4 linked regions of the Diceros bicornis minor genome follow. The protein of the gene in region 2 purifies or fractionates together with the protein of the main gene of each other region. This does not show direct contact. Links are inferred from orthologs where the notes say so. Each region holds a gene or a part of one and is shown on either strand. Other genes may lie near its edges.

The links.
Region 1: the proteins of PRKACB (region 2) and PRKAR2B purify together in Homo sapiens (affinity purification with mass spectrometry; 7 studies listed by BioGRID and IntAct, counting the BioPlex papers as one, with this or other methods). This does not show direct contact. The link is inferred for Diceros bicornis minor from reciprocal best matches to the Homo sapiens genes PRKACB and PRKAR2B.
Region 3: the proteins of PRKACB (region 2) and CDK5RAP2 purify together in Homo sapiens (affinity purification with mass spectrometry; 4 studies listed by BioGRID and IntAct, counting the BioPlex papers as one, with this or other methods). This does not show direct contact. The link is inferred for Diceros bicornis minor from reciprocal best matches to the Homo sapiens genes PRKACB and CDK5RAP2.
Region 4: the proteins of PRKACB (region 2) and AKAP11 purify together in Homo sapiens (affinity purification with mass spectrometry; 5 studies listed by BioGRID and IntAct, counting the BioPlex papers as one, with this or other methods). This does not show direct contact. The link is inferred for Diceros bicornis minor from reciprocal best matches to the Homo sapiens genes PRKACB and AKAP11.

The regions. Positions count from the first base shown.
Region 1 is NC_080742.1:11,401,247-11,408,631, reverse strand, and holds the start of PRKAR2B (cAMP-dependent protein kinase type II-beta regulatory subunit), read left to right. Parts: upstream 1-4,368; 5' UTR 4,369-4,543; coding exon 4,544-4,868; intron 4,869-7,385. UniProt on the Homo sapiens protein: Regulatory subunit of the cAMP-dependent protein kinases involved in cAMP signaling in cells. Type II regulatory chains mediate membrane association by binding to anchoring proteins, including the MAP2 kinase.
Region 2 is NC_080743.1:20,724,709-20,731,829, forward strand, and holds the start of PRKACB (cAMP-dependent protein kinase catalytic subunit beta), read left to right. Parts: upstream 1-4,100; 5' UTR 4,101-4,126; coding exon 4,127-4,310; intron 4,311-7,121. UniProt on the Homo sapiens protein: Mediates cAMP-dependent signaling triggered by receptor binding to GPCRs.
Region 3 is NC_080767.1:27,771,792-27,779,481, reverse strand, and holds the start of CDK5RAP2 (CDK5 regulatory subunit-associated protein 2), read left to right. Parts: upstream 1-4,679; 5' UTR 4,680-4,827; coding exon 4,828-4,883; intron 4,884-7,690. UniProt on the Homo sapiens protein: Potential regulator of CDK5 activity via its interaction with CDK5R1. Negative regulator of centriole disengagement (licensing) which maintains centriole engagement and cohesion. Involved in regulation of mitotic spindle orientation.
Region 4 is NC_080748.1:34,204,265-34,211,636, reverse strand, and holds the start of AKAP11 (A-kinase anchor protein 11), read left to right. Parts: upstream 1-4,371; 5' UTR 4,372-4,451; intron 4,452-4,948; exon of another isoform or gene 4,949-5,002; intron 5,003-5,288; exon of another isoform or gene 5,289-5,352; intron 5,353-7,372. UniProt on the Homo sapiens protein: Binds to type II regulatory subunits of protein kinase A and anchors/targets them.

The sequences.
Region 1 (7,385 bases), on a different chromosome or scaffold from region 2:
ACCCAAGCTGAGCTTCCAGCATTCTCTAGCTTGCTAGTTCCACAATTCTAGTGGACAACTCTCATCTGCTCTTGTTTCTTCTCCTGTTCTTCCTTTTTTTAACTAACAAATTAAAAAAATTTTTACTTGTGGTAAAATACACATAAAGTTTACCATCTTAACCATTTAAAATCTATAGTTCAGTAGTGTCAAGTATATTCACACTGTTGTGCAACCAACCCCAGAATTTTTTCATCTTGCCAAACTGAAACTCTTTACCCATTAAACGGCAACTCCTCATTTCCCTCTTCCCTCAGCTGCTGGCAACCACCATTCTACTTTCTGTTTCTATGGATTTTGACTACCCCAGACATCTCATATAAGTGGAATCAGACAGGCTTATTTCGCTTATTTCACTTAGCATAATGTCCTCAAGGTTCATCCATGTTGTACCATGTGTCAGAATTTCCTTCCTTTTTAAGGCTGAATCATTTAAAATTTTTTATTTTTTTTTTATGTTTTTTTATTTTGGTTCTTTTGTTCTTTTGTCCTTATAAGTTTATCGTTTTGTTTTATTTTCCCCATTCCTTTAGCCATTATTTTAGTACAGTTTCCGGAAGTGGAGATAAATTTTTGAGTCCAACCTAGTCCTTAATAGGAAAATCATATTCTATTTATGAAATCTAAGGACATATTCTCTGTTGCTTTCGACAATCTCTTTAACTTTGCAAGACCCCTTAAGGAGAAGAGAATAATAAAGTTGCATTTAATCCTCATTTAGCCAAAGAAAAATTTATGCTTTGCTTTGATGTTAAGCAAAAAAGTTACTTTAAGCAGTTGTCTTTTTACTATGAGTAGAAACTCTTTCCTGGGAAAGTTAGTGTAGTGGATCTCAAGGTTTGGTCCCCAGACCTGCAGCAACAGCATCACCTGGGAGTTTGACAGAAATGCAAATACTCAGGCCCCACCTCATACCTACTAACTCTGAAAATCTGGGGGTGGGGCCAGCAACTGTGTTTTCACAGGCGCTGCAAGTGCTTCTGATGCTTGCTAAAGTTTGAGAACCACTGGTCTTCTAGAGGCAACGCTTCGCAAAACCGCATCTAGAGATTAAACATTTTGTTTAGTTTTACTCCAAATGTTTACAAGATTTTCAGGCTCTGAGGTGACCATCTTTCAGCAGACAAGTTGTGAGGCACCCCTACCACCTATAGTGCCCATCTGCGGGACTTTTCTCTCTGCTGGAGAGGAAGGCCTTGTCCTGTATTTATACTACCTGACCACTTCCTTACCCTGCACCCCACTGGCCACACTGACTGAACCAGGAGAGGAGCCCTCACTCAAGGCCAGCCAGTCCACTGGATGGTCAGGACCAACTAGCTGGATCCTCTCTCGAGAATATGAGCTAGAGACACGAGACCGTAGTCAGTGCTGAACTGCTAAAGGTATAGAAAACTGAGTGATGGCCACAGTGGCCCTGTGCAGGCACAGCCCCTGTGTCCTTTCAAAAAAAAGTAGCCCCTGCCTACTTTTTTTTCCCTTGAGTGGGTATACATTTTTTGCGCCAAAGAGACTTGATCAGGATACATCTTAACTATTGATAAGAAATGCCGTATGATTGATTGGTCGTAGTTAGTATCATCCATTGTAAAGCTTGCCCAAACTATTGGCTTCTCCACGCTCTTGTCCTCTTTTGGAACTGCATATAAACAAATTGATGTCTCTGTCCAATATGTGTTTAATTCCCCATATGTGAAAACACATTTGGTAGCGCTCTTATTGCATTCCAATGCTGAACTCTTGGAGTTCTTTTGCAATTGCTTCTGATTCTCTGAGAAACTAGTGCAAATTGCTTTGTAAATCAACAACCAAAGAATCAATATCCGTGATGTTCTTTTAAAGAATTTGAAGATAAATAGTCCCCATAAGCCACTGTCATTGTACTCCAAGGTTCAAAAGGAAATATTCTGAAAATGAAAGCAAAGGAAATCATACAATATTACCAAAATGGTTATGTGGTAGTGAATAAAAGCCAGAATATGATTTGAGGAGTGAACGTTTGTTCTGAGAACAATATTAACATAACAGGAATATCAGGATCAAGCTTTACTTTTTCAGGTCACGGTTATTGATTTAAGAATTTATGCAAACAAAAATCGTTATCAGAGAGTTGTTTGCAAAAATGTTTTAAATCCAACATGTCTTCTTTTAATATTATACTATTGTAGAATATCCCAGGATGGGAGAGACCATAAAGGTCATCTAATCCAGTTATGCATTTCCTGCTTGACTCACTTCTATACCCCTAAAGAAATGACAGCCACACGACCCTGGCATTGTGGTTGATGACAGAGCCATTTACCATGCCTCATATAGTAAATCTACAAAAAGGAATCAATGCATTTTGAAAACACAAAATATAGGATGCTACTTTGAAATATGGCTTTTGTAAGTGTTTGGAAAAGTAGTGCTTTTTTCTTCTGTTATTCATGGGGGAAAGGGTGTTAAGCATTGTGGCAGACACTATTTATTGTCCCCAGAATTGGTTGTCCGTAATCTACAAATGTCTGGTTGGCACATGACTGCTCAAAATAAAGCTTACATTCCCAAGCTTTCCTTACAGCCATGCGTCTCGGTTACTATTGCTGTGTAACAAATTACCACCAAGCTTAGAGGCTTAAAACAACCTTTGTATTATGCTCACAGATTCTGTGGGTCAGGATTTGGAACAGGGCATCACGGGGCTGGCTGCTTCTGTCATGCGATAGTGACTTCTATCAAAGCAGTCACAAGCCCATCCAGATTCAAGAGGAGGGGAATTAAGACTCCAGCTCTTGATGGAGGAGTGGAAGGTCACACGCAGAAGAGCACATGGGACAGGAGATATTTTTGCAGCCACCTTTGGAAAATGCAATCTGCCACACTATAGGTGTGGCCATCCTAAGTTCTGGCCAAGAGGACATAAGAGGAATTAGTGTGTTTAACTTTCTGGAAGTGTCCTTAGGGGGCGGATGTGTGTTTTGGGGAGGTGGGGAGAGGTTCCCTTCTCTTTTCCACTTTCCTCTTGGCTGAAATATGGATGAGACGACAGGAGGTGGGGCAGCAATTTTGGACCACAAACTGAGGATTCCGGAGCTATGAGCTGGAAAGAGCCTGGGAGCCTGATGACCATGGGAGCACCCGACCAGCCCTGCCCTGTTTACATTTACATTACAGAGAAATAAGCTGCTCTCTTGTTTAAGCTACTGTATTTTGCATTTTCTGCCACATGCAAGCAATGGTAATCTTAATAAAGACATCATCATTAATGAAGACAGATCAATGCTAATCTTAATAAAAACATCATCATAAATGTAGACAGATGATGCAAATTCATCTTAAATTACTGGAGCTATAAAGACAATAATGCCTATATGGTTTATATAATGCTTATACGATTGGAGTTTGACTAATATTGTGGGCCATGCAGTGAGGATCACAGTACTTTATAAAAGTTTACATCTTAAAATGCTTGACACTTACAATTAGAAGTACTTTACTATATTTAAAGACAACATATTATTATGAGGTTGATAAGAAACGAAAATAAAGAAAACATTCACTCATGGAATGAATACAAATTGGATTACAAACAAAGGGTTTATATCAAGATGTATTTTTATTGGTAAGTGCCGCACAACAAATGGTGCATTTGTTTCAATAAACAGTAGTAAACGCACAAAGTGGACAATGAAATAGTATCAGTAAGGCAAAACATCATAGACTGGATGGAGAAAGGCTGGAGAAAACGTGGCGAAAGAAAAAGAAAGGTGTCACAAAGATGGAGCATTATGTCCAAAAGAGAATCAGTGCCATCATATGACTTTAAACAAAAGACATTACCAACACTTATCAATAGATTCTCGGAGGAAAATAAAATGCCGCTACCGAGGTGGGGGCTGAAGTTTCAGGGCAAATCGCGCGGCACCAGCTCGGCGTGGGTTTCCTGTGGTTAATGACAGGTGGGAATTCGGCAGAGCGGCCAGCCCGCTCCGGGGAGTGCGGACAGGTGGACGGCGAAACGCGCCTGGAAGAGGGCACCCGGGTAGTGTGGAGCGGCCCCCCACGCCCCCGCTGCGCGCCGGAGCAGCATTCCCCGCAAGCCCGCCGGCGCCCTCCACCGTCTTCAGGCCGGCAGCTGCCCGAGCGGCGGGTGCGCGGCGCCCGCCGGCGGTGGTTGCCATGGTTTCCGGGAGTCACGTGGGCGCGCGGCGGCGGGGCGGGGGCGGGGGCGGGGCGGGGCGGCCGGGCGGGGGAGAGGAGCGGCCGCGGCGGGCGCGGGAGGAGCCGGAGATGCTGCCAGCCCTCCCGGGGCCGCGCTCGCTCAGCCACCGCCGCCGCTCGGAGCAGCCGCGCGCCAGGAGCTGCGGGCCGGGCCAGCCGGGCCGCCGGGGCCCAGTGCGCCGCGCTCGCAGCCGGTAGCGCCGCCAGCGCCGTCCGCGCTCGCCCGGGGGCCGCGGGGCCCGAGGCCGGTCCGCGGAGGGGGCGAGGGCGGCGCCCGGGTGCCCGCTGCCCCGGAGGCAGGATGAGCATCGAGATCCCGGCGGGACTGACGGAGCTGCTGCAGGGCTTCACGGTGGAGGTGCTGAGGCACCAGCCGGCGGACCTGCTGGAGTTCGCGCTGCAGCACTTCACGCGCCTGCAGCAGGAGAACGAGCGCAAAGGCGCCGCGCGCTGCGGCCAGGAGGGCAGGACCTGGGGGGACGCGGGCGCCGCCGCCGCCGCCGCCGCCGCCGCCGGGGGCGGCACCCCCAGCAGGGGGGTCAACTTTGCCGATGAGCCGGTGCACGCCGACTCGGAGAACGGGGAGGAGGAGGAGGCCGCGGACGCAGACGCAGGGGCGTTCACCGGTGAGGACCCGACCCCCGCACGCCCCGGCTCCCCAGTGCAGTTCCCCCTTTTTTGCCCTTTAATCCTGCAGCTTTGCTCACCCACCCTTGCCCGCCTTCTCCACCTTCCCTACCTTCCTATCTCGCCTACCCCCTCAGCATCCATTTCTGTCTCTCCCACTCGCCCACCTTCCTACTCTGCTCTCATGCCCTCTCCTCCTCGTCCCCTCCCCTGGAGGTGGGGAGCTGAAAGGTTGGGTTCTCGTCCTGGACTCAGAGGCAGAGGACGACCGGTTTGAGTGGGCATCTGAAAGACAACTTCCACTGTGGTTGGAAATATTTCGTTTGACGGGTACCATTGTGCATAAAAAACTGGCCCATTTGGCGTCCTCTTTCAGCCCTTATGTTTATTAATAGAGCGTCCAAAGAGAAGAGGTGAGGGGTGTTCAATTGGATTGGCTTTACTGTTATTAGGATGGCCAATTCACTAAAAGGAGCATGAAATTGGACTCACTGGGGCAGAACAAAATTTATGGTAATAGCTTTCATATTTTTGGAAACAGACAAATCTGTTAATTTCCCATTTATCAATACCGCATTTTGTTGTTTTTGGACACACAACAAAGGATCCTGTTTAGCCTGCGACCCATGGGGTCTTTGGAGTGAGGAAACGGGCTAATGGTTTGCTTTTTATTTAAAACAAATATTGAATGATATGGAGCCTTTTTTAAAAAAATAAAAAGTGTGTGAAAAACACTGTAGGAAGTTCTGAAAGCTTGTTGGTTGTCTTTAGAATGAAAAACCAGTGAGTAATTGTAAGGACTGTGCCAGACACTGAAGCTGGAAAGAATGAATGGAAAAGAAAAAGGAATTTTCTCAAATAGCTGCTCCTGGCAAGTCCCACCCCTTCTGCTTACAACCCTTTTTCCCTAACACACAGACGGACACGCACATTTACAGCTTCCTGTGTTTACACGACATGCCCAGATCCCATCTTTATGGCATCCCAAGGCTAAAATACCATGGTGTGCAAATGTGCAAGTGTTTTTTTCTCTTTGTGGTGGAAAGCAAACGTGCGTTGAGCGTTGCACCAGCCTTTATTTATTTACACTGCTTGTGGTTTGTGTGTCCGCAGAGCATTTCATATAAGGAAAACATTTTCAAGTGTCATTTCCTTGTGCATGTTGCTAGGAAGGTGTTTCTTTTCTTTGCAAAATTATTGAAATGTGTTATAAAATCAGTGTATTTTTAGCTTGTCCAAAATAATCACAAAAGCCCTGGAAATTAGTGCTCTATGAAGATAAAAGGGAAGATGGTTACTTTAAAAATTTTAATTTTGGTCTTGTTAATGTTTCCAGGGATAGGATGATCATAGTCTTAATTGTTCTTTTTGCGCAAGAATTTAATCAAATGCCTTTCTTATTAGAAGCAAGAAAAAGATAAAATAATACATATTTTAAGTAGATGAGAAAGAGAAGCCAATGATGGGTGACACAGAAAGGGCAGAGGCATCTAATACTTCTTTTATGCTCCTGAGACAGGCATGTACACACGCATACATACACATGCACACACACAAAGGGAAAAAGGACTTGTTTCCCATATGGGAGGAAACTAGGAATTTAGGGACTTGGTAAAGAACCTATATATGTTCGATACAATATATTGTCAGTATAACTAAAATATTTTGTTTGTATAATGCTTTTGAAGTACTTTGCATTGGTGATTCCCTTTTCTCCTTACAACAATGTGTATTGTACACAGAACAGATTTTATTTCCATTTTGCAATGAAGAAATAAGCCATTAACTTCTAAACAGCAGGGATCATTTTAAATGGTTTTATATTCTCCAAGGCACCTTTACTCTAAAAATTTCTCAGTGTGAGTTTTAAGAAATGCTTATTAACCAATTGCACTATTTATTCCCCAGCCCTAGCCCCAAGGACTTTAAAACTTTTTTGACTGCAACCAAATACAGTGTGACCATTATCCAATACACACATCTGTGTATAGGTATAACAGAAACTTTGGCAGTGGTGCTTCCTTCTACTTGGTGCAGTAGAAAACATCTACTAGAATATTATCTATTCCAATCAATTCTCTCGCTCGCTCTCGCGCTGGCGCTCCCTCTCGCTCTTGCTCTTGCTCTTTTTTTTTTTTCTGAGGAAGATTAGCCCTGAGCTAATATCCATTGCCACTCCTCCTCTTTTTGCTGAGGAAGATTAGCCCTGAGCTAACATCTGTGCCCATCTTCCTCTGTTTTGTATGGGGATGCCTTCCTCTTTTGATGAGCGGTGCGTAGGTCCATGCCCAGGATGCAAACCTGCAAACCCCTGGCTGCTGAAGCAGAGCGCACGAACTTAACCACTACACCACCAGGCCGGCCCCCAATTGTCTTGTTTTTTTTAAGCAAATTGTGTTGAGACCTGCAGTTTAAAAACAATTATAGATTACCAAGGGGTTGGCAAACTTTTATGTGAAGGGCCAGACAGTAAGTATTTTAGGCTTTGTGAGCACGATATGGTCTCCATCACATAT
Region 2 (7,121 bases):
AATACTTAGGTGTAAGTCTAACAAAATATGTGCAGGATCTGTATGCTGAAAACTGTAAAACACTGTTGAAAGAAATCAGAGACCCAAGTAAATGAAGAGACATACTATGATCGTGGATTGAAAGACTCAATGTAGTTAAGATGTCATTTTTCCCAATAATCTCAGTCAAGTTTCAACAAGATTATTTTTGTAGACACAGACAAACTTTTAAAATTAAATGGAAAAGTAGAGAAACTATAATAGCCAAAACAATTTAGAAAAAAAAATTAGGAAGATTTATGTTATCAGATTTAAGACTTACTAGAAAACTACAGTAGCCAACACAGTATAGTATTGATGAGAGAATTGGCACAGCAAACAGGTGGATTAGTGTAACAGAATAGAGAGTCCAGAATAGACCTACACAAATATGGTTAATTGATTTTTTGAAAAGGTGCAAAGGCAATTCAATTGTGAGTGAATATATAAATTGTGGTAGATCCATACAGTGGAATACTATTAAGCAATAAAAATGAGTGAACTGTTGAAACACACAGCATGGATGAACCCCAATTGCTACACTATACTAAATGAAAGAAGCCAGTCTTAAAAGGTTGAATCCGTTTATAAAAGGTATGAATCCATTTATAACATTTTGGGAAAGGCAGAATTATTACCCTAAAACCTTTATTTGAATAGTAGGGGTCATGGTCATATCATTTACCCTCCACATGAAGCAAATGCATCATTTACGTATCGAATATACATCCATGTTTTTCTTTTATTTAACCTTCAAACTCTAAAGTACATAGTTCTACTTGACCCTAACATGATTGTAAACTTAAATGTGGACAGTGAAATTGCGTGGCTATAAAGTGACCATCTGAACGAAACCATTCTCGTAGCAGATTCTCAGACTCTCGACAGTGTATCCAAGAACCAATCCCACCTCCAACTTTCCTTGTATCCCCACCTCCCCACCCTTGTTTGGAAAATACTGCATTTGAAAAAATCTTTACTTCTTGTGGTAAATCATTGTGCAGTACAAAGGAGCCCTGATCCAGAAGCTGGAAGACCTAGGTGACTTTGGACAAGTCATTTAATGTTTATGAGTTTGTTTTCTCATCTTAAAGTAGGGGATAATAATACCTGTCCTGTTTGCTTCGTTTGTAAAGATCTGATGAGCCAATGGAAATCATTTTATGTCTTGTAAAGTGCTTGGTAAATGTAAGGTATCATTACTGTTATTAAATATAAGAAATAAACCACAATTTTGTGGTATCTTATGGCAATCAAAGGAGGTTCAACTCAGAAAATTGTTATAATTTCTAAAATTAATGCAGAATGAATAGTAAGGACTTGATAACCTCAAAGTTGATTACTTTCTAGTTTTATCATACATTAAACTATTAATAGTGTATAAGATATGCTATTATAGCAAATTTTGGGTACATGGCTAGACGTCTTAATGTAAATTCAAGTTCTGAAAATACCATCAGGAAGAATAACAAGCAGTATACTTCTTAAGATGAATTTGAATTGTGAAGGAATTCGTAGTTTTAGTTGAAGCTGTAGTTGTTTCTTTCTAGCAGTAGATGCCAGTAGAGTTCTTTTTAATAAAAATCAAATCGCCTAAGTAATTCCATAGCAACAGCTTCCTGGTCACATTACCATGTATAGAAACATTGCTCTGAGGAAAGTAGAAAGATTCTCCTTCTTATAAGGACTTTGTAACAAATTTTTTATTGAAAAAAGTACAGATTTCAAATGTGATGTTTTCTAGATACTCATCTAGTGAAGCTTACTTTTTTTCTCTCTCTCTCTCTTTTTTTGCTTTAGTAATTTTGTTGTAAGGCTTATGCATTATTTTAAATAAATTAATCTTAGTGTTTTAGTTAGGAATCTGGAATATCTGTACTAAACTCAAGCAACATTGAATACAAGTTGGCTAGACATGTGTTAAAAATGAAAATGGTGGGGCTGAAATGTTAGGATTAGTTGGTGCATTTGGCAAGGGAATACCATGAGTATAATATTCAGGGAGATTAATATATCAGAGATGAGTGATTGAAAGGAGTGACTAGAAGCAGGGAAAACAAGTTATTTTAGAAATCTACATTTGCATTAATAAAAATGAAACTCAAAGATGAATAAAATCTAGTAACTGAATATAGAGAAAAAGGAGTTCAATGACATTACTTCTATTACTGTTGTCTCTATATATGAACAACTTGGTGCTTGTTGGATAATTTACAATTATGGTCCTATCATAAAATTAAAACATTTTCAAGTGTTTGATGATTCTACTTAGACCTTTGTTAAAAATGAATGCTTTCTTCAACATATATTTATTGAGTATGTAATACACACATTGCATTTGTAAATGCAAGTAACTCACAATTTGAGACATAAATTTACAAACAGCAAATTTTAATATAAAATTATAACTGTGACTACAAATGAAAACAGGAGAGAACAGTTTATTTTTCTAGGAAGTATGTGGGAAACTTGAGTGAAGAGGTGACATTTGCAGTGAACCTTGAGGATGAATAGAATTTCTCCCAAGAGAGCAAGTCAAAGAATTTAGGAATTTTATCCACTTTTGCCCATACAGAGTCAGTCCATGCTCTGTAAATGTTTATTAAAGACTGCACACACTTGTCTGTTTTGTATAAAGCACTGTCAGATGTTAATAAACAAATTACCTATTATTATATACACATTTATACAGAAAACTACAAATTTAAGAAGTTTAGTCTTATAGATACTATTGCCTATTTGTTTAGATTGATATTAATTTTATTACACAAAAGAAAGTGTATACAAATGAGCTGTTACTTGGCAAAATTCATTAGTGTTTCCTTTGTGTGTGTGTGTATGTGTGTGTTGTCCTAATTTGATTACATTATCATTCCTCTTGATTCTATTTGTCCTTCTTGTTCCTATTTCTTGTATTTGTCAAGCATTTGGCAGGAAATTTAGACTGAGATATTTTTTTGATAGATTTTTAAAAAAAAATCCTTCCTTCCTTCCTCCCTCCCTCCCTCCCTCCCTCCCTTCCTTTTATTCTTTTATTTAGAACTTCCAAAGAGAAAACCACATATTTTTGGGACATGCCCTTTAAAAGATTATCCTTTAATTAGTGTCAAAAGGCAAGTAGTCAATCATTGTTAAATGTCATGAGTTACTTTTTTCCTCCAAAAGGACAATGGCAAATTTTACTTACTTTTAATCAAAGGAGCTGTTTTTGAGACCCCTAAATCAAGGATCAGGTAAGAAGTAGTCCTGAATGTTAAGTTTGAAAAATTAACATGTCTCAGTCAACTAGAAGGATTTTTTTTCCTCTCAATTGAAATTTCTTGCCGTAGCTGATTTTATATAATTTTAAATCTTACTTTTTATTCTTTTTTTCAAATTTTAGAATGTTTTAAAAGGTACTGCTGATAGGCACTTGTCAGCAGATTATAAATTTGATAAGCAATACTGACATGCTAAATTTTTGAAGTTTCTGTATATATTAGACTGAAGTCAGTGAGTTAGCAACATTCAGTTCTTTTTTTTAAGATAGGGTAGTTCAGATTTTTTTCTTAGTTAAAACATATATGTTATGAATTTGTTTTGCAAGAGTTTCGTAATATCTATTCCATACCAGTTTTTGATGAAATGTTGCCTTCTTATAAGGATTCATAAAAACTATATATTAGCTAATTTCCTGGAAAAAACACCACCTTTTTAACATATTATATTTGGAGAGTGGTTTGGCCTTCAGTTGTTTGCATAGGATTGTAATACGTTTAACTAGTTTTCCTTTTTTTTAATTTTCAGCCTACTATATATATAAAGCTTTATATTTAAGTCCCTCATTAACCTGTATATTAATATTAAAACACTCTTAAACATAGAGCCTTTTAGGCTGATACTGCAAGTCTTTAAAATCCCATCTCTAGTTGAGATGAAGAGTTTTGCTAAGACAGGCTTAGCAATGTGCTGTTTTATATTAACAGGAAGCAGAACAGCAGTAGTGGTTTGAATACTCTGCAAACAGGAAGTTTGACACATGCATAGCTCTTAGCTTCTGTGTAAGAAGTTGTTGCGCTCCTTCTGGAAATATTTTCAGTTACTTTAAATAAAGTGTAAATGCACATGAATGGCAACTTACAGAGAACTACCCTGTAACCAGTATACAGGTACAACTGCTCTTCAGAAATTGGAAGGTTTTGCTAACCGATTATTTCATAGACACTCTAAAAGTTTTGTACATGATCAGAAAACAGCTCTGGAAAATGACAGCTTTCATTTCTCTGAACATACTGCCTTATGGGACAGATCAAGTAAGTTGTTCTTTTTTTTTTTTAAATGATATGTTATAACTAGAAGCTCAAATGCTAATTGGAGTTTTAGAATCAAACATAAAGAACTGTGTTTTGTTTGTCTTTTTATGATTTGCACAAGGACATTTTGCAAGATGAAGTTGAGAAAATTCTGCAAAAACTTGGTTATAAGTTGAGCTGAATCATGTAGTTCATTGTTTTGTTTTATATATGACTAAGTTGAATATCAGTAGGAAAATTTTCTACAAAATTCTTACATCATTTCTAGTGTGTTACTGTTTTTTGTTTTTATATAAAACAGCCTAAATTTTAGAAACAATGATCAGTTTACTTTTTAAAATGTCTTGGATTTATAAGCCTTAAAATTCAAAAGGGGCGAGAAGACTCTTGAATTTATAATTAAATTTTTGTTTGCCATCTTTTATTTTTAAATTTATGTTTGAAAGTTACTTTAGTTTTACAAGCAGAATTTTCTAATATAAAAGCATAGTATGATTATTCTATGGGAAATCTTATATTTGTAACATTATAAATAACAAAAGCTTTTATAATTATATTTTATATTATTTATAATTATGGTTAAAGGGGGAAAAAGTTGTTTATGCATGCATCACATTCTTTTCAGGCATGTTAAGATGTTTGGACTTACTGCTTTGCTAAAATGGTGATATGTAATTATTTTTGGTGACATGCCCTTTAAAAGATAAATTTCACGTATAAACAATACCAGTACCTCCATTCCACATCTCACCTTGGATCCTCCCCAAGATATTTTTGTCACTCTGATGAAAGCAATAATAGAGTTACCCTTGGTACTCTTGCCCTTTATGGTGTGTTTGATTATCAAATTGCACTAGGTTTTCCCTCTTTCCATTTATATATTCCATAGCAGTTAAGGAAGAAAACTCAGGTTAAAAAAAACAAAACCAAACAAGAATGGTTTACAAAATTTACTCCTTGTTTTATGCAGCACCTTCATAGTTCTATAGAAGCTTATTTGAATTATTTCTTTTCTGCATCAGAATTTTTTTACCTTCTTCAAGCTATTTTAGGAAGAAAGGAAAGAATGTGTACTTCTACAAATTTTTTTTTTACTCTAAAGGTTTTGATTATTTATAATTAATCCTTAACTATGTAGCAAGTTAATGGATGAGGAATCTCAAATATCTTCAACTTAATGAACTGTTGAATATTGAAGTAATAGTACATTATTAAAATTTACCTTGCAACAAAAGTTTGTTATTCATTCTACTTGCCCTATTCTGTTAAATTGCAGTCTCTTAAGGCCTTTCGGAAATCGTTTTTATGCATTTCGAAGATCTTTTAATTAAAAGTTTAGTGAGGAATGAAGACAATACTGAATTAGTTTCTGTTTTATTAATACCTGTTCCTCCACATAGTGGGTGTTTAGTAAATATATCTCAAATGAATGAATATCATGGGCTTTTAATAATTAAAAGTTATGTTTGAACTGTACGCCCACCATTTTTAAAATATATGGGGCCTGTGATGTTTTCTGAAACACTTTAAAATCTAGCAACGGAAGATAATATCATGAGCCATGATTTCTTTGGGGAAAAACGGACTGATAAAATGCTGTTAACATTTTTCTTTATTGTGATATCAGAAAATAAAATAAGTAGGATCATTGTACACAAGTAAAATTAGGTGCAACCCTTGTAGCCATTGCATAATAGGCATGACATATAAGAAATTCTTAAAGAGTAACTGAATGTTCGTTAATCAGGTATTCTTCCACTGTCTTCTCTCTTTCGTATCCCCAAAATATCAAAATATGCACAATAATTTTATATATGTAATAATACATATGGTAAGCTTGGAGCTCTAGTTTCCTATTACGGAATGTGTTGATATACAGGAGAAAACGCTGATACAACAGAAAGAGAGGAACACTGTTGTTTCAAAATTCCAAGGTTTATTTTTATGGTTAAAACACAAATTTTTATTCATTTATAAATTGAGTTATGGAAAGAGTTTTGATATGTTTTCATACAACCTACATTCTTCAAAGCTACTTAAAGCGGTTTACTTCCATGACTTGTTTAGCAAGAAAAAGGAATGTAATATCTCCTAATAATAAACGCTCTAAATATGCTTGTGCCAAAAGTGCTATTTTAAGAAATCAACTAAGCACAGAAACCACATGTAATTTTTTAAAAATTAGATTCATGAACTGTGAGTAAAGATTAATTACCAATTTAGGCATGTATGAAATGTAACAAGTTTTAATCCAACTTTATTTCTTTTCCAGTGACATTAAATATAGGAATACAGAAAAAAGGCCAGTTAGTGGTTCCCAGGGCTTTAAATGTGTTTCATCTTTTAGTACTAAATTAAGTAACAGGAATTCCTGTTTGATAACATAAATATTTAACAGCTGATTCCATACACGTTTAAGTACATGAAGTTAAAAAAAAACGTGGAGGAATTCTTTTTGTTCTGACTTGGAATAAATGTGAATATTGAAGTTCGTTGAGTTCTCTTTCTGACAAATTTATTATGGTTAGCTTTTAAATCTTTCTTTGATCATAAATGGTGTGTTGAGTTATACAATGCTGAACTGGGTTGAAGTTTTACATGTTTTAAATCTTGGACTTTATACACTTAACGAATGTCCAATTATAACATTTTAAGGACTGAATAGGTGAATACTACCACTTTACCTATCCTGCTTTCCCGTGAATTGACAGGCTATTTCTTTGGCAGATACAAATTCATATTAGTGAATAGTAGATTTAAATACTATGTTGAAGAAATGAGCGATTTTGTATACGGATTTCTTCAGGTAGA
Region 3 (7,690 bases), on a different chromosome or scaffold from region 2:
GGAATTGGACAAGGGCTGCTGATAGCGAAGGCTGGCTGGGAAGAGTTCTTGAGAGAAAGGGGCAGGGTAGCACAAGGGATGTGCTAGAAATACTGCTGACCTTGGGATCAGACAGACTCGGGTTTGAATCTTGGCACATCTATGTATTAGATGGGCAGCTTGGCCAAATCTAGGATAATGTGTGTAACAAAGTAAATAATGATAGTGATAGGTTATAACTCATAAAATAAAGCAAATATCCACAAATCCATGCTGATTTAAATAAACAATGGAAGAAATGGGCAAGAAGAGAAAGTTCTTCCTTATAGTAGAATTCCAGTTAATAAATATAGATGAAATGATGAAAATAGGAAATCACCAATTGGCAAATACCACAGTAATAATTGTTTTGCGTAAGAATTATTAATGGGTGCTAAAATCAGTGGGCGAAAATTTGATGACAAAAAGGATATTTACATAGTCTTAAGTATCGCTGCCCAAGACTCTTTTTAATCATAAAAAAGCAGTAATTTTGGGGGGCAGGCCCTGTGGCTTAGCGGTTAAGTGCATGCGCTCTGCTGCTGGCGGCCCAGGGTTTGGATCCCGGGCGCGCACCGATGCAATGCTTGTCAGGCAATGCTGTGGCGGCGTCCCATATAAGGTGGAGGAAGATAGGCACAGATGTTAGCCCAGGGCCAGTCTTCCTCAGCAAAAAGAGGAGGATTGGCATGGATGTTAGCTCAGGGCTGATCTTTCTCACAAAAAAAAAAAAAAAAAGTAATTTTACCATGGAGAATCTTGGCAGACTCCACCTTAGCCAAGAGATCAGAGTTAACATCACTAATTAATGAGACATATTAACATCATCTTCCTCCTGATACCCTGAGAAGGGCACAACATCAGTTTTGTGGTATTCTTGCTCAAGTGCATAACCTCAATTTAATCATGAGCAAACAGCACATGAACCCAAATTGAGGAACAGTCTATCAAATAACTGGCAAGAACTTTTAGAAAGTGTTAATGTCATGAAAGACATAGACAAAGGAGCTGTCGCAGATTGAAGGGGAGTAAGAAGACATAACAACTAAATGCAACGTGGAATCTCAGATTGGATCCTGGGCTGAAAAAAGGGCATTAATGGGAAAAATGATTAGGTTTCAAGAAGGTCTGTAGTAAGTACTATTGTAATATAATTTCTTATTTTTGACAATTGTGCTATGGTTATGTAAGATGTTACTATTTTAGCAAGCTGGGTGAAGGCTATATGGGGAATTCTTTGCATTATTTTTGCAATTTTTTTCTGTCTGAATTATTTCTAAATGAAAAGTGAGGAAAGAAAGGAAGACAGTGTGGCCTTTGGCAAATCTCTTCCCCTCTCTGAACCTTAGTTTCTTCATCTGTAGAGCAGGGCAATCATCCTAATCTACTTCAGAGTGTAGTGAGGATAAAATGAAATAGTGCAAAGTAGCAATGTATCTGTATTGATCCTGTAAGTTATTCTTGCTGTTAATAATGGCAGCTCATGTGTCTTGAGCTGCTAAAACTTCAGGAGGGTTCTACCCTCATGAGAAACATCTGGCTGCAAGCTACTTCCTCCCAGCCATTTGAGATGACCTTACCCAAGGAATAATAATGCCAGCTTTGTGACTGGGTGGCTGTTGTCAAGGAGATGGTGCCAGATAGCCCAAACAGCTGGTAGTAGTGACGTCACTTCCAGGCTTGGCAGAAAGAAAGGCCATGGCGAGACAGAGACGGGGCAAAGGCCTTCATCCTTGACCATGAAAACAGGAAAAACAACTTCCCAAATAGCCTATCCTTTGTGCAACTGATTCTATTTTAAGTTTCTAGGTTCATTAAAGGGTTAGCACACAATTCTGGAACGTGGTCATTTGCTGAATCAGGCAATGGATTAATCATAAGCAGAACTCCTCCAAGGCTCTTTCTTCTTTACAGTTTCCAAAGTATCTAATTAGATAATGCAACTGTGTGAGCTCAGCATTGTCTGTCCCATTTCACACATGGGAAAACCAAGGAGGAGCGAGGGGAAGGGACCTCAGGTCACAGGATAAGATGGAAGATTTTCCAGAGTCAGAATCCAGGTGCCCAGACTTCCCATCCTGCAGTCCTACTCTCCACACTAACATTCACCTCATGGCCACCTTGAAGCAGTTGTCCAAGGAGTAGAGTCTGGTGAACACATCCCTGAAATACTGTTGTCTGGATGTAGACCTCACCTCTTGACCCTGAATTCTAAAGTGGAGGAAACCAAACAGATAGAGAAGACAGGCTGCCTAAAACAATTAGAGTGTTTGAGTTCGGTGGGACCTAGGCTCAAATCCCAGCTCTGCCACTTACCAACAGTGAAACCTTGAGCATGTTATTTTCACCTCTTTCAGCCTCAGTCTTCTCATCTGTAAGTAAAATGGGGAGAACAGTAGCACCTACTCCCGAGGGTTGTTGTTAGGGTTAAATGTGGTGGTGTATGTGATATGCCTGGCACAAGTGGCACATAAGAGATGCCCAAAATGTGTAAGTCCTCCTCCTTATTTCCTTTCTGAAGAGCTTTCACGTGCTGGATGAAAAGTTAGTTCCTTCATTTGGGAAGTAACGATTTGTAACTCAGTCTCCCTCACCAGAAAATGGTTGGTCGTGCATTAATAACCTTGAAATAAACACAAAGAAATCACCTCCAGAGCTGTGAGGTCCTGAGACATCCAACCAGCCCAACCCTCTTATTTCATAGGTGTAGAAACTGAGGCTCAGAGAAGAGGAGTGGTGTGCCAAAGATTGCAGAGTCAGTGGCAGAACCAGGGCTGGAATCCTGACACCCCAGCTTCCCTGCTTTTGGACACACCCATCTCATTGGTTGAACTTAGCACTGGCAAGGACTGTTGGTTCCCGGGCTTCGAGGACTGCCCTTCCCTGGGGCAGGGCATCTGGTGTGCCAACTGTTTCCTGCCCACTCTCTCTTTCAGGCTGTTATTTTATTGCTGATTCTGGAGGTGACTGAATATCCGGGGAAGGAAGAGGAACGGGCACAGGATCAAGAGCCTTGTAGCCTTCACCAAAGCTGAGAGAGAGAGAGAGAATGAAGCAGAGAGAGAGAGAACAGGATATATGGGATGACTATTGACTGAGCTACTAAAGATATCACATTGTCACAGAAACCTTGCAGGATAGGTATTATTTTTCATTTTCCAGATTGACTGAATCATTCATTCAACATATATATATATATATATTTTTTTTTTTGAGGAAGATTGGCCCTGTGCTAACATCTGTTGCCAATCTTTCTCTTTTTCTGTTTTTCTCCCCAAAGCCCCAGTACATAGTTGTATATCATAGTTGTAGAGTTGTAGCTCTTCTGCATGGGACATTGCCTAAGCATGGCTTGATGAGCAGTGCGTAGGTCTGTGCCTGGGATCCAGACCAGCAAACCTCCAGGCACCGAAGCGGAGCGCCTGACCTTAACCACTACACCACGAGGCTGGCCCCTCAACGTATATTTTTAAACACTGATTGGGTGGCAGGCACAGTGCTAGGTGTTAGGAATATAGCAGTAAACAATTCAGAACACAGTCTCTGCCCTCATGGAGCTTCCAGTCTAGTGCAAGAGGAGACATTAAAAAAAACACAAAAATATATAATTGCAAAATGTGGTAAGTGCCACAAAGGAAAAATACAGGTTGCTAAGAATACAAGAAAGGGTCTGATTTAGATTAGAAGATTAGAGAAGGCTTCTTTTGGAAAGTAACACTTAAATTGAAGAATGAGGAAACTGAGGATGAGGGAGGTGTTGTACGTGGTTACAAGGAAAGTCATCATCTACCCAATCACCCATTTTTTCAAGTTATTTTCATCCAGAACTCTCCGGACAGCCTGCAGAGGAAGGTAGTAACACTGAGATGGGGAGATGAAGGTTCATTTCATTGGCCAAGCTGCCAAAATTATCTAGGTGTTGGTGATTGCTTTGTGCTTTAAGAAAGGCAGTCAGGGTTATGCAGAGAGCCCTGATGTGGTTGGCAGGAGCCGGGGATCTGGCTCCAGTCCACAGACTTACTGTGCATGACTTTGGGAGAGTCATTTCCTCTCTCTGGGCCTCAGTTTACTGATCTCAGGTGCGTCTGAGCTTTAAAGGTAATAAAGGATCACTAGGTGAGAGATTGGAGAGGGAGTGTCGGTGACCACTTGGCTCATAGGGATGAATTTATTCGTTTCAAGCTAAGTGTGCAAATTACTGCTTGAGCTGGGATTCTGCAGGTAAGATTTTTCTAAAGCGAGGCAGCACCCGATTATCTGAGGTTCAACTCAAAGTGGAAGCCTTTTGAATGCACAGACCCTAAGGTTTGGGTCATTATTCTAGGAAAGCATACACCAGGATAAGAACTCTGAAGGTCCATGAGGGCCTGGATTCCCATCTCCCGCTTAAATTAACGGACCAAGGCCTGCCTTGGCCCTCAACAAAGATGGCGTCTGCCCTGGCCCCGGCCTCAGTGCCCTCACAAAAAATGGCAGCCGGGCTCTCTTTCCTTAGTGTTGCGGGCCCCAGGTCGGATGCTCTGCCCTTAGTTAAGATGGCGCCCGCCCGCGCTTCCCTGCCCGGCTTCTGGCCTCGGCCGGCCGGCTTCACCGCGCGCGCCGCGGTGACCCCGCCCCGTTTCCGTAGGAAGAAGCGCCGGGAAAGATGGCGGCGGCTGCGGTTTGAATTCCAGCGGTGCCGCCACAGTCCGAACAAGAGCTGGGTTGGAGGGGGCGGGACCTGGGGAGCCAGGCGGGTCGCTACATCGTGGGGGAACTAGTGCTGCCGCCGCCATAGACACCAACGCCACCACCTCCTCCGTGTCCAGGATGGACTCAGTGTTGGAAGAGGACGTCACCCTCCCCGGAACGCTCAGCGGCTGCAGGTGCGGCCCGGGCTTTGGGGGTTCGCGGTAACCGGGCCCGGGTTCCCGCTGATCGAGGGGTTCGCTCCAACGGAGACTTGGGGTCTGCTCTCGAAGGTGTTTGAGGGTTTCCGGACAGGGACAGTGTGTGGGGTGGGTTTCTGGGGGCGAGGCGTCTCTTTCGGGACCCACCAGCTGATACTGAGTGTAGGGGGCTGAGGGTCCGGACCTGCACCACACCCACCTTTCTCGTATTTCGGGACATACTTTGAAGAGGGTGTGAGGGACAGGTAAGGGGTTGTCTGAACGAGCGGGAGGAGGGGGGCCTTTTGCAGTGTGCCATCGGTGGGATCTGGTTGAGGGGCGGGGACCTGGAGGGTACTTGATGGTTTATTCTGGTTTGGGGGTTTGCATTCATTATGGGGAGTGTAGTTGGTCTGTCTAGACTTTGCTTATGGGGTCACATAGTGGCCACCAAAACTCAGGCAGTGGAGTGCAGTGGTTAAGAACCTTGGCTGGAGTTGAACAGAATTGGATTTAAATCCAGCCCTTGAAACTAACTAGCTCTGTGACCTTAAAGTCTCTTACCCTGCTTTCCCATCTGTAAAATGGAGCTAGTAGTAGTATCCACCCAACAGAGGTGGGATGAGGATTAGAAGAGAAGATGCCTGCCCAGCAATTCACTTGGCAAGTGTAATGCCTGGCACGTAGTCAGTGCTTAAAAAAATGATTCTGTGTTGCCATCATCATCATCAATAGTAATACAAATTGGGGAATAATGGCTGAGAGTGGCCTCCCAATGGACCTGTCCCAAGAGGCATTTGGAGTCCACATTGCTGGTGGGGCAGGGGTCTCTTCTGGTAGGAAGGCCTGACAGAGCCCTGCACTGCCCCAGGGCTGGGGCCCTTTGTTGTCCTGGCTCCCGGTTGAGTGCTCAGAAGGACATGGAGGAAAGCCTTAACTGAGAATCTGCAGTGTTTATCCAGCTGTGCTAGAGACGGGCTGCTTCTTTCAGTCAACAGACGCTAATTAAAAGGATGACCATGTATTTGTTGTGCAAACCGATACACTTGTAAGAGTGAAATGAGCACAATTAATATTCATGCCTGGATGGCAGGCGTAAACAAGTCCTATCTGGACAAGTGGTTAGTCTGTTTATTGTGTATCTACTGTGTATCAGGCACAGAGCAAGGCCCTTTGCAGCTCCTGCCTAAATTGGACCTGTGTTAGTTCATCATGTCTCTTTCTCTTCATCTCACTACGATGCCCCGATATATTGGGGTATGACCTCTCACCTTGATTGTCCTGGCTTCCCTCACACCCCTAATAGTCTTTTATACTATAGCTTGAAAACTCTTTTTAAAATGTAAATCTGGTTGTCACAGTCTGCTGCTTTATATGTGTAATGCTGCTCTTTGCCATTAAGATAAAAGTCCACTGTCGTTCTCTCAGGCAGCTTTTCTCATCTTGGTGCCGGTTGGCCAAGCACTGGGGCTTTGGGACCCAGACCTAGCTGGGTTTCAATCCCGATTCTGCCATTTAACACTGTGGCCTTGGGCAAGTCACTCACCCTCTGTGAGCCTCAAAATCATCTGTAAAATGAGTGAGTCTAAAAGAGTTTAGCCCGGTGTCTGGCCCAGAGTAGCAACTCCACAGATCATCACATATTCTGCCTACCCTCCTCTCTCTGCCTTTGCAGGACCCAGGTGCTGCATACATTCCTGGTAACTAATCTTTTACTCACCTCCTTCAGACCCTCCCTGGCCACTCGCCACCCTCAGGGTGAAGTTCTTTAATACGGCTTCCAAGGTCCTTCATACTCTGGCCCCATCTACTTCACTAGCCTCCTCTGCCCTTCCTTGTCTCCTCCCCAAGCCCTTCACTCTGCTTGGCTGCCAGACTCTTTGTAATGAACGATCTTGCCTTATTCTTTCATATTGTGGGGCCCTGGCACTCATGTTTCTGCTGCCTGGATTGCCCTCCCTTCTCCCTTTGCCTTATTAATGCCTGTTATTTTTCAGGTCTCAATTTAGGTGGCACTGCCTGGAAGCCTTCGCTGACATTCCCTCACCCCACCTGGGCCGTCTGTAGTCTTCTAGTCATCCCATTTATCACTGACCCTGTCTCAGCCCTGGATTTTATTGACACTAGCACTGTCCAGTAGATATATAACTTGAACCACATATGTAATTTAAAAATTTCTAGTAGCCACATTAAAAAGTAAAAACAGGTGAAATTAATTTTAATATATTTTATTTAACCAAATATTTCCATAGATTATCATTCTAACTTGTAAAAAACAACAGAAATTATTAATGAGATATTTACATTCTCCTTAATCTTACGAAGTCTTTGGGGTCTGGTGTGTATTTTATACCTACAGCACTTCTCAGTTTGGATTAACCACATTTCAGGTGCTCAGTGGGTACGTGGGCTGGTGGCTCCTGGATTGGACAATGCATCGTTAACTTGTCTGTGTCCCACTTTAGACGACGACCCATTTGAGAGCAGGGGCTGCATTTTGATCTTCTTTGGTACCCTAGTTCCTAACCTGGTATCTGGCTTACAATAGGGCTCAGTAACTATTTGTTAAATCACCGAATAAACAACGATCCTTTGAGGTGACAATATTATCCCCTTTCTACAGGTGAGGACACACTGAGGCTCATAGAGGTGAAGTGAACAGTCTGGGATCTCATGAAAATTATTTGATCGAGCCAGGATTTAAATCCAGGCCTACTGATTACAGAGCCTGGCTCTCAGTACCTTGGCCTGCTTTCCGACTAGTTTTCTGAGCCAATCTGAGAGGATTCTGGGAGGATTTTATG
Region 4 (7,372 bases), on a different chromosome or scaffold from region 2:
AATGAAAGTAACATTTCCATTAAATAGCAAAATTACATTGGAGGAGACAGCATCAAGGTGATTGCTAAAAATTAGCCCACTAACATGTTCCCTGGGGACATGTGAGGCGTTCCTAGGCATAATCTTAGGTGCACTTACACACAGCCTGTGTTCTCTGACTTGTCACACTGCTGCCTTAGCTCCTTAGTACACCACTGGCCTTCCCCTCTCCACACCTCCCTTCTGTAGTGTCCCCTGCCCCGACTTGTGTCCCCTGCTCCCCCATCCCAAGCATGGGATAGGCCTTTCCATTAATCCCCTTACCACAGCATAGACTGGGCTTATAACATTGCAGACTTTACTGAAGACTCCTAGTGTTAAAAAAAAATCATTAAAGAAAACAATTTAAGTGATACAAATAAACTTGAACACTTCATGAAGCGGACAGTCTCCATTCAGAGAACTACAAAATGGGGCATAAGGCAGGAAGCTTTTATAGGATAAAGAATAAAAAGCAAGGAAGAGAAAAATAAAATATCTGATTGCCTGGGGCCACAGAGTTAACCTTGTTTCCGGTCAGAAGGAACAAGGAAATGAGTATAGAGCCCAGAGTTGGCTTGGCCTGTGGGGATTGGCTGACTGGGTATGCCGTGTTTCTGATGCAGTGAAGCATTTGCAGGGACTTGGGAAGTTAAGTTGTGGTTTGCTGACATCACACCTGGGCAGGAGCGCCTCCATCCTCCTTTCCTCTTTCCCTCTCTTCTTTCCCTTTTCTTTCTTCTTTTTTTCTTTCTCTCTCTCTTTCCCCTTCCTTCCTACCTTCCTTCCTTCTTTCTTTCTTTCTGCCTGTCTCTTTCTCTTTCTTTCTCCCTCTCCCTTCCTCCCTTTCTTCTTTCCTTTCTTTCTGTAGTTATTGACTAACTAATAACACCTACCATATGCCAGGCATGTGTAAGTAAAAACAGATGTGGTTCCTGCTCATGAATCCTACAGTCTAGTAGAGGAGAGAGACATTAACCAAATAATCATTCAAATGAAAATCATTATAAATTCATCAAAGCATTGAAGAAAATTACAGTCCTGGGTAAGGAGGAGCTTACTTAGTCTGGGGAGTTAGGACAAGAGTTCTTGAGGAAATGAGAGTAGAGCTGAATGCTGAAGGATTCACGGAAATTCAGAGGCTAAGGGGGATGGACAGAGAAAGAACATTTGATACTGAAGGAAGCAGGACAGGTCTGGCCCTATTTTGAGGAACTGAAAGTAGGACTTCTGAGAGGGAGAATGATAGGAGAGCAGAGGAGAAAGTTAGGTAGATCATGGGGAGATAAGAAACCACTGAAGGGTTTTAAGCAGGGGACTGACATGGTCAGATGTGAATTGCCAGAATACAAATGCCAGCCTTCTGGGGCTAGAGTGCACATACTTCAAACAGCAGGCAAAAAAGACAAAGCTAGGAGCAAAGTAACTGTGCTAGGAAAAGAAATATGGACTTTGTAAACTGGATAAATTTTATTTTTTAAAGTATTAAAAAGGAATAAGCAACATCCACACAAAACTGGTATACAAATTTTCAAGCAGCATTATTCACAGTAGCCAAAAAGTAAAAACAACCCAAATGTCTATTAACTGATAAACTGATAAATAAAATGTGCTGTATCCATACAATGGAATCATTATTCAGCGATAAAAAGAAATGAAGTACTGATTCATGCTACAACATGCATGACCTTTGAAAACATTATGCTAAGTGAATGAAGTGAGGTATAACCAACCACATATTATATAATTCCATTTACATGAAATTTCCAGAACAGGCAAATTTATAGAGACATAAAGCAGATTAGTGGTTGCTTAGGGTTGAGGATGAGGTGGGGGATTGACTCCTAATGGGTATGGGGTTTGAGGGAGCAAAACTGTTCTCAAATTAGATTTTGGTGATGATTGCACAACTATGGGGATATACCAAAAAACACTGCATTGTACACTTTAAATGAGTGAATTGTATGGTATGTGGATTGTATCTCAATAAAGCAGTTAAAAAAAGAAAATAATTTAAAAAAGAATCCAGGAACTAGGGACATCTATAGAAAGGAATCTCAATCCTAAATTTCTTCTTGCTTTATATTCGTTGTAGTCCAAATAATTGTAGCTAGCAAAAGAGACCACAAGGACTGTCCTGCTAGGGTGAACTGGGAGGATCTCGGGCTCTATTCATACATGTTAGGACGGTAGAGTTGAGTCCATTGTTCATCTAAATTAGCAGTACCAAGCAGCTGTTTCAGTTAATCATTATAAGAACGGCAAAAAACACTCAAAAGAGTATTCAGTTCTTTCAACATTTTAAAAGAATGGTCTTAATTTGTTAAAACAATACCTTTTCTCTTTTTAGCATTTTTCCTTTTAAAAAGTAACCCTATAATGTTTCTTGAAATCTTATTTTCATTAAAATTAAGGTGTTAGCTTAACGTGAAGATAATGCCTCAGCTCTATTTTCTATTTCTTAAATCTTGATTAGGAACATGTGAAACATTACTTATTCAATACTACCTAGGTTCAAAATAGCTACCGAGAAAGGGAACAGGAGGTTGAGCAGGTGGCAATGCTTCCATTTTCACACTCTGAGAAGGCCAAGATTTCTTAGGGAAGCATTCCTGGTATCTGTATTAATCAGTTTCATAGTTCCTCAGCCGGTGTGTGTGTGCGCGCGTGCGCGTGCGCGAGTGTCCAATTTCATTTAGCTTGTGCTGCTGACTCTTATCAGGTTTTTATAAAGATTCTTTTCATTTCCCTTTCCAGCTTCCGTCTTACTGGTGTGTGCATGCCAAACTTAACCACTCTGCGTGTAGGCTAGTTAGATTGCCTTGTTTTGTGTATGAGGAAGCTGAAACTCAAGGATGATAAGGTACCTTGATTTGGCTGCGTCACCAATGAGAGGTCTTCCAGTTGGAACTTGAGTCTCCTGATTTCTGTTTTTTTTAGTGGACATCTTCATTTTCCAGCCTTCAACCTCTATCTTTTCAAATCTTATCCTTAGGAATAAATTTCTGCATTGAACATCACTTTATGTTGCTTTTTCCTAGAACTGACTTTTAGACAGAAGAGGTGGTTATCTGTGTGGTGTAACTGGAGGGAAAAAAAATCAAAAGACACATTCCTTTTGGGCCATTTGTTTTCCCAAGTAACAAAAAAATTCCCGTTTATTTCTCCTATTGTAATTAAATAGCAGTAACTGAAGACGTATCTAGATGCTCTTAACAAAGGCACAAAACAGCACCAGAGCTCTGACCTAATGGATTTTAGAAGAGGAATGTCCAAGTCGTTGGAAATTAAATCTTTCAGGATTGTCTTTCTCACGGACTACAAGTCTCCTGATATCCCAGCTTCCTCTGTGGCCTTCTTAAGATATTCTTTTCCGGGAAGAGCTTTAAAAAATAAAAAAAAAGTGAATCATAGGTGTCTCTCTCCTATTTAAAACTCTCCAACGCTTTCCATTGCACTTAGAATTCTAATTCTCAATTTCTTTCCTGGCTTACAAAGCCCTACAGGATCTGGCCCATGTTTGTTTACTTCTCCAAGCTTATTTCCTCTTACTTTCTTGTATTTTCCCCCTCAAACCCCATTTAGGGCCTTTGAATTAGCTGTTTCCTTTGCCTGGAATGCTCTTTCCTCTGATATTTGCATGACCGTTATACAAATCACTGCTTAAATATCTCCTCCTCGAAAGGGCCGCCCCTCAAGTAGCCACCCAATCACAATCACCATCACATCATTTATTGTATTTTCTTTGCATACAGCTTAACAATAACAGGTTTTTTCTTTCTTCTCTCTCCCCCTCCCCCATAAGCCCTCTAGAACCTACACTTGTCTTCATCGCTGCTCAATGGACAGCCTCGAGTAGCGCCTAACAAATACAGGAGCTTAATAAAAATTTGTTGAGTGAAGAAATGAACATACGAATGCTCCCTGTTTTTCCTGCCCCTCTCTCCCAAACAGGACAAAACTCATAATGAGGATACACTGAAAAATGTCTTTCTCATCTATCAGGTATTAACACCCTTGAGAAATAGATGTCCTTGAGGAGACTGTGCAACTTGACGGGACTAGCCCTTCCTATTCTAAGTGGAGAAAATCGTATGTTAGCTTTTCATCTAGGGCTGGGTTTCTCCGTGACCCATGCTTTACTTCCGATTCTGATACCGCGTAGAGACGCAACGGTGAGCACTAGGGCCCGGAGATCCCTCGATGCTTTGTTGAGGTTCGGATAGGGCCGCTGGCCTGGTGCGCTGTGAGTGGTCCTCCCTAGAGATGTTGGGGAGAAGGGGCGGAGCCACCCCGAAAGCATGAGCCTTACTTGGGCCGTCAGATCTGCGGGGCTGCCGCTTTGGGGCCCCGGGAATCAGAAGAGAGCAAAGCTCGCCTGTGGCGAAGAAGGAGCCCCGCTGACCCCAGGCGGTAAGACCAAGGGGTCGAAGGTAAGGAGGCAGGGCCTGAAACCAAACCCGCAGAGCAAGCCACGGCTTAGGTATTTTGCCAGGGGAAAGGGTTAAACGGTTTCCAAGGTAACGGACCAGGAAGCGCGCAAGACGTCCGCCGCAAGTTCGTAGGTCAGACTCGAGTTTAAAGCTCCCACGGCTGAGCGGATTCCGGCCAATGGAGAGGCTGCCTCGATATCACGTGACGCACGGGGCCGAGCGGCTAGCTGCCTCGGAGCACGTGGGAACGTTTTTCCTGTTCCTTCTTTGCTTTTTAAAAAGCCCACCCACTTTTGCGCGGGCTTGGTAACGGAGGTCTTCTCGCGAGAGGCGCGCTCCCCTCTCGCGAGAGTGAGTGGGAGGCGTGGGGACTAGGTGGTGTAGCGGGCTGGAGCTGCGGCGGCGGAAGGAGGGGGTGGGCAGGGCGGGGGCGGGGAGGGGGAGGGCTGGGGGCCGGTGCTGGAGGGGGCGTCTGCTTGCTCGGCAGCTCTCGCGACTGGTCGTTGCGGGCCGGTTACGTGCCTGTGAGTTGCGGAGGCTACGGCCCCCAGGTGAGCCGGGCGCGGATCGGCCCGCGGCGTCAGCAGCGCGTTGGCTGGGGTGGCGGCAGGGTGTGGGGCGGCGATTGATGGGGCGGCCCAGCTCGGGCGCCCCAGCCCCTGCGCCTGCCCGCAGTCCCTGCTCTGACTTCGGGGCTGTTCAAAGCTGCGCCTTCGCTCGGCGGTGGGAGGAGGAGCGGGGCGGAGGGAGGAAGCCCAAGGCACTGGGCCGGGGGGAGGGGAGTGTCCTCGGGCCCGAGTGGGGTCTTTCTGGAGTCCGAAGTGTGGCGTTGGGGCTGCAGCCCTTGAATGACAAGCTCAGTTTCTGACCCCAGAGTGGGCTTCAGAGCCGGGTCCTCTCGGTGAGTGGTGGTGTGTGTGCTTAGCTTGTGTTGGTGCTGCGCGCACAGGAGCATATGCAGGAGGAGGAGGGCGTTGCACTTTGTCCCCTAACAGCATCCTTCACTGTCAGAACCCCTGAGCCCTGGAACCGGGCGCACCCCAAATCTTGTGACAGAAACGGAAGACGTCAAGCCCGTCGGAGTATTGATATTGGGATTTGCTGTCAGATTTCCCCCAAGGCTGTTAATGGCTTAAATACAGGCCATGCATATTCCAAGTGCATTGGGTATACCACTTCGATTATTCCGGGCACCTAAGCTGCTTTATAAAAAAAAAAAAAATGTAGATACGACCAAAGTATTTAAAACGTTGGCCAATGACAATGGTAGTAGCATCTAAACCACCACAGTGGGTGTGACTTGGTGACAGTTCTTTACTTCTGCTTTTCGTCTCTAAAACCTTATTAAACTGGAAGTGGTTTAGCTTAAGATGTTAAAGAAATTTCAACGTGAGAAATACTGCTGAGACGTATCTAATGGTCTTAGTGCAAACCACCGTTAAAAATTCCGCTTCTCTTTTCAGCTTTGTAATTATGCAGTCCCTTGCAAAACATGTAAGCTTTCCTTAGCTTCTTCCCACCTTGTTAGGGGTGTTATATTGATTGATACTGTTTTTGATATGTCTGGAAATATCCAGAAAATTCAGAGTACTCGGAAAATATAGGGTACTCAGTCATGCAAAGATGATTTTAATGTCTTGTTTATAATTTTAGGGTAAATGGCAGCTCAATTCTCAGCAGGATTAGTGTCAGTTAAAATAGTGCAATTTAATGAATCTTTTAAAATACCTGGTCAAATAGTATTTGTACAAGTAGTACTATTCAAGTAGTACTGGTTATACTTTTTTATGTTCCTTCTGGCAGAACTGACCCAAGGGTTGAAGATGAATTTCACTGTTAATTGTAGCTGTGAGTAACAGAGCAGTTTATGAGAGATCAGAGAATGTAAGGCAATCAGAACAAATGGGTTCCCAAGCTGACTGGTAACTAGTGATTAGTGTATGTACCCACGTAAGTGAACTATTGTTATGGGACTTGCCCAAGACCCTGAACCACAATGAGGAGTTCCCTAGCTTCCCAGCTGCTGGAGTGAGTCTAGAAGCTGAAGTCCTCCTTTGCTTTTAGAGGCTGGAAGAAGGATAGTACATTTAATGTTGCTGGTTTTTTTTTTTGTTTTTTTAATTTCAGGAACTTACTGTCTGGAAAAGGAAATCAAATCAGATGATACATTATAGGTCATTTTTAGGGAAATTTCCAGTTATAAATAGGCAGAGGAGTTCTGTCTATACTTGGAGAAAATGTGAAAAACTTAAGAAATGTCTTTTTGAGAATGGGCAAAAGGGACCAGTCTAGATTTAAAAAGTTTTGTTCCATTCCATCTTGGCAAACTGATTTTCAGATATAGAAAAATAGCATTTTTTGCTGGTCCTTACGACCTTTTGGCAAGGGTTTCAGGCTTTTAGGATGTAGATATTTGTTTTGTCTTGCTTTTGAAAAGAAATTGAAGTAACTTTGGGTAGGATAATTATTTAGGTAAAATGAATTTATTCTTTTTCTGTGAAGTGGCCTCCATTTTAGTAATAAAATCACCCGCTTGGAGGGAATGAGGGGTGGGGCAGGTCAGGAAAAGATTAAGCTTAGCCTAGGCTTTAGTTAAGGGTGTATAAACTGGTAAAGTAGGGAAAGGAAAGAAAAATACTTTATCTGTTTAAAAACAGACCAAACAGATTCAAATGTCTTCATTCTGCTACTCATCTTTATATATAAAAGTTCATTTTATTTTTCAGTACTTAAGACATTTCAAATGTATAGATTAGAGACTGGACAGGATAAAAGGAGAAAACATTTTTGGATTAATCTGAGAATGTTTCATGGGAAAGAATAAGATAAATGGCATGGTGGCCTGGAACACATTGGGTGTTAACTTGGGTGAAAATGAGGTATAGTGAAAATAGTGAAAAGAGTTCGGGTTTTGGAGTCAG